Drosophila melanogaster: one gene and its partner. The protein of the gene in region 2 interacts with the protein of the main gene of each other region in a pairwise test. Each region holds a gene or a part of one and is shown on either strand. Other genes may lie near its edges.

What was found. Proteins that work in one complex are often made in the same cells at the same time.
Region 1: the proteins of CG14817 (region 2) and Usf interact in a two-hybrid assay, tested with the Drosophila melanogaster proteins (one large-scale study listed by BioGRID).

What each region holds. Positions count from the first base shown.
Region 1 is NC_004354.4:4,544,113-4,550,643, forward strand, and holds Usf (Usf), read right to left. Parts: upstream 4,683-6,531; 5' UTR 4,317-4,682; coding exon 3,274-4,316; intron 2,713-3,273; coding exon 2,442-2,712; 3' UTR 505-2,441; downstream 1-504. Other genes in the region: CG3568 (uncharacterized protein), read left to right, coding at 1-64, 122-292; CG15912 (uncharacterized protein), read left to right, coding at 4,962-5,702; CG11436 (uncharacterized protein), read right to left, coding at 6,298-6,531.
Region 2 is NC_004354.4:1,875,771-1,879,188, reverse strand, and holds CG14817 (uncharacterized protein), read left to right. Parts: upstream 1-1,918; 5' UTR 1,919-2,049; coding exon 2,050-2,220; intron 2,221-2,277; coding exon 2,278-2,427; 3' UTR 2,428-2,895; downstream 2,896-3,418. Other genes in the region: CG14818 (uncharacterized protein), read left to right, coding at 1-50; CG14805 (uncharacterized protein), read right to left, coding at 185-934, 992-1,762.

The sequences.
Region 1 (6,531 bases), 2.7 Mb from region 2:
CATGTTGCCCGTGGTGACATACGCCTGGGATGGAAATGCCCTGCCTGGCAACGAATTTTGGGCGGTATGCAAGAAGTGACTCTACTAAGGTTTACAATTTGTAATGCTTATTTCCCTACAGAATATGCTAATCAGCACTGGGGATCCAGCAGCAGCCTGTTCCACTTTAATCTCTGAACTCCAAAATCCCCACATTAATGTGCACTATATGAACGGAGCCAATCTGCACATTGCATCAGTGGAACACGGACTACTCCATGTAGGCGACTACGCTAGGCGACTGATTGTGTAAACACAATGTATCTAAGCACTATGTAATCCTTAAAATATATTACAATAAAGAGATCAGCTTTTTTGCTGATACATATGTACATATGTACATATGTACATATGAACATATGAACTTATGGAATCATGGAAAGCCAGCTGTGCGAACAAACCACCATATTCTTCTAAAGAATCAATGCCCGCATGCCAACAATTCCATTGAATGAGAAATTGATTGTGTGTGTTAACCATTACTGAGTTCGTTTATTGAAATTGAATAGAATTATTAGCTGTCAAATGACAGAAATGTGATATTATTGTAATGTACTGCATATAGATAGCAACAAGTAACACAAGATCCCATTTCGTTTTCGGCCATGGGTTAAATAATCCAATTCCCAGTACCCCATCTTATATCTTAAAATCCTGAATCTTAGTGTGTTTGTATTTTGGTGTGGTTGGTGTGTTTGATTTCTTTTTTTTTTTTTTTGCTTTTTTTTTTGGCATTTTCATTATTACAAATGAATCGTATTTAAAACACTTCTGTTCTGTATACTTATACTTCTGAAACAGCGTCGTATATCGAAAACAGTGATATAACATTCACAACAACATTATGCTCAAATATAATATAATATAATATTATTCTTTATCAACAATAGCATTTTATCTGTAACGGTGCACACGCCCCCGGCGAGCAGTGCGGCATTATATAGCCGCATCTCGCTCGAATTCCCACTGTTCTACCGACTGCACTACGTATGTACACTTGCCTCTCGCTCTTTCTCTCTCTCTCTCTCTATATATATATATAGACCATATATATTTATATATATATATAATATATATACGATATAACTAGATATAGTATATTTTCGTTACATTTTTTTTTTTTTTGTAGGTAATTAGTGCCGAGAAACAGTACAATAAAATCGAAAAATCAAGCACAAACATGCTCCAAATATGATTTAGTTAAAGGTATATATGCAATAGGTAGGTATCGTTAACGCTTTTAGATTTTTTCTAGGCTTGTATTTCTGGGTAATTCATAGGTATGTATGTACGTTTGTATATAATGATGGCAAACCGCTTGAGGATCCGAGAACATAAATCATTTCACATCTGTGCAATCGAACTTTTGTTACTCAAACTTCAGACTTACAACTAATTTCCTGTATAACAACAAATCGAAAACTTTGTTAACCACTTCAGTTTCCACTTTCACTTTCAGCAAGAAATTACTTATACTTATACTTATCTTGCGCTGTACTTTGCTAATATTTCAATATTGATATTTTTGAAAAACATATTTCGATTTAAATACAACAATCTCTTGTTGAAAGTGAATACATAGTGAATTCTCTTGAATGAACACAAAGAGTTTGTTTGAAACATGGCTAAGTTATAGTTCTAGATTCGCTGCGCAAATCAAAACAACTATACCTACGTATATCTTAAACATAATGTAATACGAAAAAAAAAAACATGGAAGAACAGAACGTGCTTTAAAGCTTCTTATCAACAATATTTGTTTGTGATCTAATATTCCAAGACTCTAAACAAAATATGATAATGATCGCGGCATGGGGGTGGTACAAAAATTCGTTCGATCGTTATTTTCATGATTTGTTTTTTTTCTTTTTGGGCGCTCACTTTTTGGAGGGGGGGGTTGGTTAGGAATAATACCAATAACAGATACATATAACATACAAAAGCAGCTGTGTTGTGCCGTGGCTCGTTAATTAAACTCAATTGAGAACAGCTTTTTGTCAAAGCGGTTAGGCCAACAACTTGGCTTGAGTCACCCAAGTTCGACTGCATATATGTACATGCATATACATAGCCATATACATAACCATATACACATATCGATACACATATGTAATATATGCTGCTTTTCTTATATAACATATAACAGAGCGGCGATAACAAGGAATCACTCGTCATGTCCGTTTATTGTACTGCGTGTGTTGCGTTGCGTGTACGTTGCACGTCATTCTTTGGTGGATGGGCGTATATGTTTGTTGAAGGCGCCAGGGCTTGTCCATCCGCCGCCTCCATATTTGTTTATTCCCGTAACCAGCAACCCAATCGGTCCACCCATATGTTTTTCATTTCTATTTTTTTTTTTTTTTTTTTTGTCTATCCACTCCTATTTCGCAGGCAGATTTTGTTTACTCATCAAAATCGCTGATCAGCAGGCCACGCTTGCCGAATCCCAGCGACGAGACGGCGGCCAGATTGGGTGTCGTATCGATTCCCTCGAATAGATCACTGGTCGCGGAACTGTTCAGCGAATTTAGGGTAACATTAAACGTCGATCTTCCGCCGGCCGTGTGGAAGCGTTCCTGGAGCTGCTGCTGACGCTTCAGGCGATCAAGTTCCTCGCGCAGCGCCTGGTTGCTGGCCCTTAGGCTATCCGTCTCCCTTAGACAGTCGCGCAGCCTGTTTATTGGTGGGGATAGACAAAGTTGAGTAATTGGTTTGTTTATGTTTGGTGATCGGTGAATCGGTGGATCAGGTGTTTGATTGGCTTTGTATGATTTTGTTGGGTTTTGTTTGGGTGGAAACCGCATTCGATCAGTGTGAGAGAGTGTTGTGTTCAAGACTTGAGTGACACAGGGACATTCGAGAGTCCAGCTCATATTGCACGAGATAGTGGCGAAAAAGAACCGCTCCAAAATGGGGATTTTGTTTTGCAAAAAGATAACACCAGCCCTATATCAGCACTTTAAGTACGCATTTCTACGGAAAAAGTGGGAAAGATCAAGTGTCCGCCCTTTGGGTAACTTTATTCCTAACCGTATGCGATCGATACATGATGTAAGCTCAATTGAGCGAATGGAGTTGATTAAGATCTATAAGCAAACTCATTTTTTAAGACCATTAACAAGTCAAAAAAGTTATATAGCTGTATATATAACTGTAGTACAGCAACTTATAGCGGACAATATTTGTGGATTTCTGATTCAGTGGTTTCCCCCCTACAAACCCGTCTCCACTCACGTGTCAATCTCGCCCTGCATGCTCTTGATGTACTCGCATGCCTTGATCAGGATCTGCGATTTGGAGTCATTGGGCGGCGCTCGTCCGCTGGAACTGCTGGCATTGCCTTTGGAATGGCTACTTCCGTTGGTACTCGTACTTCCGCTGGTGCTGGGACTCGTGCTGGCCTCGCTGAAACTGGAGCTGGAGCTCAGACTGGGCAGCATCTCCTTGAGCTTGAAGATCCAGCTGTTGATCTTGTCGCGGCGCCGGCGTTCGACCTCGTTGTGCGTGGCACGACGTTTATCATCGCGTTTCTTGTACGCCTCCAGTTTGCTGGATGGTGTTTGGCCAGCTGATTCTGGCTGGGATCGGGCTTGGGCGTGAGCATGGCCATGGCCATGACCATTGCCATGGGAGCCATACAGGACACTGGTGGTGGTGGTGGTGCTAGTGGTGCTGGTGGTGGTGTTGATGTTACCTGGAATGGGAGGATTCACGGTCTGGGCGGTTATTACCGCGGACTGTGTGCTGGAGGAAGTTGTAACAGATGGAAGGAGCGGCTTTTCGCTTAGCGTATCTAGTTCCAGCTTGATGGCCGCCTTCGTCGGCGGCTCACCCATTAAGCTGCCGGTTTCCTTGACCAAATATATCTCACAGCCAGTGGGCAGCTGCAGATTGTTGGGCAGCTGCAAATTGCTAGGCAGCAGCGAATGGATATCTAGATCACATCCCGGTTCCTGTTTAATCGTATAGTACTCCTGCGAATCGTCCGAGTTCTCGTCTCCGCAAATGGTGAGAAATATCTGAGCACCTTGGCTATTCATCAGCGGATTTCCCGTGTCGCTGGTGAGAATCAGACTTTGCTGACCATTGGCAAAGGAACTGTGGACCAGGGCCTCTGACAAATCAGCGGTGTGGTGATTGGTAATGGTCATGAGGCCAGGTCCAGCTGTTGGATTCGCATTGCTGATATTTACGGAGGACGGGGATGTGGAAGTGTTGGTATTGCTGGTGGAGGAGCCGAATTCCATATTCAGACGTGGCCGCTTGTGAACATTCATTGTTGCATCGATGATCCGCCGTTAGCAGTACACCAATTCCAATAGCCCAATCCCAGCCAGAATCGTATCCGTGTCGCCGGGAATCACGTAACTCCGGATCTATTCGGGATCTCCTCCACTATTTGCTCCGATCTCTAGTTGGAGGATACACGGATATGGATGGTAGATATCCCCCGATCTGGCCGCTCTGCGGTATTATTAACTACCGACTGCCTCGAGGATTTGATTTGAAATCGAGCGCTGCGGCGGATTTATGGTCGTTCGTGTTCGCACGGCCATTTAACAATACGATTTGTTGATTTTTTTTGTAACAAAATTATTTTCGTTTGGCTTAGTGTGCCCGCCGGCGGGCAGCAAATATATGCCGACAAATACACACAGTACAGTTGTTGCGAAAAATACCAGAATTTAGGCAATGTATTTTTGCGGCATTTCCAAATAATTGTTTGTATTCAAAAAAAAAAATAAACTCTTCATACAAGTAGAAAATCTGTAACTTTAAAATGAAGAAAAGCATCTTCATTTAATTCAATAAACGATTCTCAACTAAGCAAATGTGTTTTTGGAGGTTTTTCGAAAATTAAAATATACCAAATGCATATACGTAATATCTAGTGGACAAACAATACCACACTGTTGGCCAAAATGTCGTTGACTTCGCAATTTGTTGCGAATTTGAAACGCTTTCGCCTGGTGACCTTCGATGTAACGGACACGCTGCTTCGCCTGGAGGATCCCCTTCGCCAGTACCATCAGACGGCAGAGGAGTTCGGGGTCACCGGAGTGGATCGCCGCCGATTGGAACAATGCTTTCGCCAGCAATTCAAGGCGATGAGCAGCGAACATCCAAACTTTGGCCGTTACTCGCCGGGATTGGATTGGCAGCGTTGGTGGCTTCAGCTGGTGGCTCGAACCTTTAGCTGCGTGGACCACGGTCTGGCGCCCGAGAAGCTGGAGAAGATCGGCCAGCGGCTAATTTCCGTTTTTCGGACCAGCGCCTGTTGGAGTCACGTGAATGGTGCCCAGGAGTTGGTGCAGAACGTCCGAAATGCCGGCAAATGTGTGGGCATCATCTCCAATTTCGATTCGTCACTGCCACAAGTCCTGGACGCCATGGGCTTTGCCGGCAAATTCGATTTCATTCTGACTTCCTACGAAGCCGGTGTTATGAAGCCCGAACGCGGTATCTTCGAAATTCCGCTGCAGAGATTGCAAATTCCAGCGGAGCAGGCCCTTCACATTGGCAACAAGTTGGATATGGACTATGAAGGTGCCCGGAATTGCGGCTGGAGCGGTTTGCTTGTGAGCAACGCTGACAATCCCCATTCTTTTGCCAGTCTTTCCAGTCTGTTGGAGGCCTTAAAAACCCAACCAATCCGATGGTAATCCACCAAAGAAACTCCTCTCGGGAACCTGCAGTTCTTCGATTGGATAATGGCTGTTGTTATTTTTGTAGATTTCCTTTTTTTTTTGCATTAAGATAACATAACTGAATGTAAAACTAGTGGTAAATATAAATACGCGATCTTAATGATATTTTTTTGGGAAATTCGAGGTAGGAGGTTTTGGACAAATATAAAACATAATATAACAAATATAAAAATAAGCTGTCTGAAAACAGAAATAAACAAAAGAGTTCTTAGTTGAATACAATTCAAAGCTTATTTCTTATCGAATGTGAAAAAGTCGTTGTTTAAATATTCATTAAAAGATATTATTAATTAAAGTGACATAACGATGCTGTATTATGCATCGAAAGAACCTCCTCCTTTCGAACATTTCCGTGTATAAAGCCTGATAAAACTATACCTGAAAACTTATCCTATACACACACACACACACACTCGCACACGTCTCTTGCACACATACCTAAATACTAATTAAGAACAGATTAATCGTACAAGCTATTTTGTGACCAAAAATATTTGGTTGCTTTGTGAAGGGAATGTGCCAGTCCATCTGTTTGTAATGGCAATCATTACTATGTAGCCTTTGTCGCCTTCGCAGGCATTTGGGCCTTGGCCGCCTTAAGCTGCTCCAAATTGAACTGTTTCCGGATTTCGGTGGACACCTGGCGAATGACCGCATCCGTATTGGCCTTTAGATCCCGTTCCAGCACATCAATGTCCACATCCTTGCTCTCCAATCGCATTTGCATGTCCGAATAGAAGTCACAAAACAACACCGGTTCATCTGAACCATTCGGCGTCCTCGT
Region 2 (3,418 bases):
GAGATGACAACATGGACGGGCAGGCGGGCAGCGAAGCGGCACCCAAGTAGATCCCTCTACGAGAAGTTATTGTTTTGTTCATCCAAATCGTTTTTAGGCACAATCAGTGCTGTTTTTTTTCTATTATCATGTATTTTTGTCCTAAGTCCTAAGTAAACGTAATTGAAAGCAAGCTTAAGGTTCACTATGTCTTCCGCGCTTTCTTGCGCTTTGTCTTCTCTGTGATTTCAGCCTGGCCATTGGTATCGCTAGTAATATACTTGAAAGCTATCTGGAACAAGCGCATTGACTGCGCTTTGAGGCGCGCATTCTCGGCCTGCAGCTCTTGCACTCTTTCGTCGCTTGTCTGTGCTGAGTCTGGCTGATATTCTGCATACGATTTTTCGGACTCAGCTTCCTTGGAGGCGGTTTCCATTGGCTCGGATTCAGGTTCTTCTTCTTCGACCTCGGAATCCTCGACATCTGTAGCTTTGGTTTCCGCCTCAATTCCTTCGTCGTCCTCGTTCTTTCCCGAACTCATGGACGCTATAAGTTTGAGTATTATCTCCTCATCCGTACCCGGATGACTTTGGGTGTAGTCCAGCTCCGGTGTCTTGCGTCCCCCGGAGTAGTCCGGATCGAAGAGCTCGATACAGTCATTCTCATCCCACGGACTAATCATTCGCTTTAGACTGTCGGCGAACATCTGCGGCTGCTTGTGTTCCGGCAGAAAGATGGCTGGGCTGAGCAGGCGGATATGCAGATTGGTTACCGAGCCTTTTTGGGACAGGCTCTTAATAAGTTGCCTGCTGCCCACGTCCCAGACGCAGACCTGATTGTCCTCGCCCCCGGAGACCAGAGTTGTAGCGCTTATATTCAGAGCCAGGCAGGTGATGGCCTTGCCGTATGTGTGGCCCACAAAGGCCTGGATTTCCTCCCCCTCTAGGTGATATTCCTGGGTAAGTAAAGGAATTAGTTGGCAAAGCAGTGGATAAACGAAATCTGGACTCACCTTCATGCGCGGCGCGTTTTCCATATTAAAGACAAACACCTTGCCGTCACTGGAGCCAACATACACCCTAGTTTCCATCTTGCTGACAATCACGCTATGCAGGGCCACTGGGAACACCACACTCAGCAGCAGGACGCCCCCGCACAGGTCATATACCTTGCAGCAGCGATCCAACGATACGGTGTACAGATAGGAACGGATGCCTCCGATGCCGGAGTATAGATCAGTGACCGCCAGACCGTGATCGTTAAAGCTGTACAACGGCTCCGTGCTATCCTTGCCCCCGCCCGTGTCCAGTGGGGCGGCGGAGAAGGTGAGATCCCAGACAAGCACAGCTCCGTCTTTGCCGCCGCTGATGAAGTGCTCACCGTTGTCCGTGAAGCGCAGGCAAGTGATCGCCTGGTAGTGCTTGGACAGGGTGTTAAGCATACGGCCGGAGCTCATGTGCCATAGATAGATGTTCTCCTGGATGCCGGCCACCAAGAAGTTCCCATCAGGCGTCAGGGCCAAGGCGTTGACCTTGCCGGGCACCACGAACCGCAGTCCGGCCATCTGCTCTTGCTTGTTGATGGGCCACACGTGGAGCAGTGGCTTGGCGGAGTTCGCCGCCATCACGTAGTTCAGGTGGATCATGTTCAGGCTGTGGTGCTGGGCGCATCCACCGCCCTTGTAGCGCATCAGGTCTGTGCCTGTCCGCAAATCCTGCACGCTGCATGTCGTGTTGTCCTCGCTGCTCGTGCTGATGAAAAGGGCCTCCACGGCGTCTTCCATGTTGTGATCGGGTTGAAATGCGCGACGTTGTTACAATACGTACCAATATTGTTATTGCATTACGACTTCTAAAGTTCAACCGGAAATAAGCGGTAGTTTCCTATCGATAAGCGAAACCATGATTTGTCTTGGCGTATCGACCAGTTACTAAAATAATCGATGTGGTTTTTCCCTTCGCGAAACTTGGTCACATCCAAATTCGGGACAAAGTAGAAATAATAATAATTTATTATAAAATAAAAAGTTAGCGGATTGAAGTAGTTTTTACTTGGCACTTGAGCAACAAAATGCACCTGACGCTGATCAATTTGTTCAAGAAGACTGTGCCCGGCCACATATTCCGGGGCAAGCGGCGCCTGGTGAAACCGGTCAGTCAGCGAGCAATGGACACCCTGACCCACGAGTACGAGCGCCAGGAGCAGGTAATGTTACTCCTCCGACACCCGTATCTCACCATGGTAAGTCCTGCTCTCTGTACGGATTGCCTCACCTAATGCCACACTTCCCGCCTGCAGGAGCAGTCATTCGGTCATGCCAAGGAGCTGCAGAAGCGCGAGAAGCTCGTTGCCAGATGGACGGACGAGCAGACACTGCGCAAGATGAAGCCACACGTTACCATCGAGGAGCGGCTGAACCAGCTGAAGATCAAGGAGGCCTGGGACTAGCCGTCGTCGCAGCTGCTAAACCGGCGTTATTTGTTAAATAAATCTAGATGTTATGGAAATTATATAATACCTGCTGGATAAGAGTAGTCGTTTCATCACCCGATTAGTTATATTAACATACAAGTTACTCCGCGAGGACTGACTACCAGCTTGCTATTGGTGTGTCACCTCAAAGGCATTATCCCAGTGGACAGAAATGGTGGACTAGGCACTCACACCAATCGATTTGAAAGGCAGTGCACTTGGCAAAGTTTCCACTTGATTCACTTAACGTTGTCTTCGTGTTTGGCGCTCATATCGCTTTTATTTGTTAAATTGCGTGTCTAAGTGTATATATCAATAATTCTTGTATGTTATGTATATGAACTGTTATGTACATATGCAAGGCATGTAACACGTTTCGTCGTTTCCACTTCCGATCGCTCGGACAAATCGCCATTATCAGAACGCTCCCAGCATCAATTCGTTAGTACGCTATAGACTAAAACTTTATTATTTAATGGATGTTTTGTCTGCTGTTTGCTGCTTCATCTTCATTTGTATTGGAGTTGGTTTAGTTTAATGCACACTTAAATTTCAATTCAGGGGTCTCACTTTTAGAAAGCAATTTCAACATTTTTCAAATTGAAAAATCATATTTTCCAAACGCCACAAGGATAGGGAATGGTCATCGGAATACTAGGGAGTTTAACTAGTTTTGGGGCGCAGGGGATTAGGGTTTGCTTTCGTGTCCGAGTCGCGCGCCTCTCGACAGCTTCTCGACTTGTTATAGCAATAATACCAATGGAAACGCCAAGAGATTGGTTGTAGCTACGAGGTTGCCTCTTCTCATTTGTCCTAAGTTTCGTTTTGTTTTTTTGTTACTATCATTTGCGATTTGCCTGCTTTTGGTTAATGATGCGCATAACCTCAATAAAACATTTGTAACAATTTTAAATTAACTTTAAAAAAATAGATATATGCATATTTGTTGCTGCTGCTGAACTGCCTT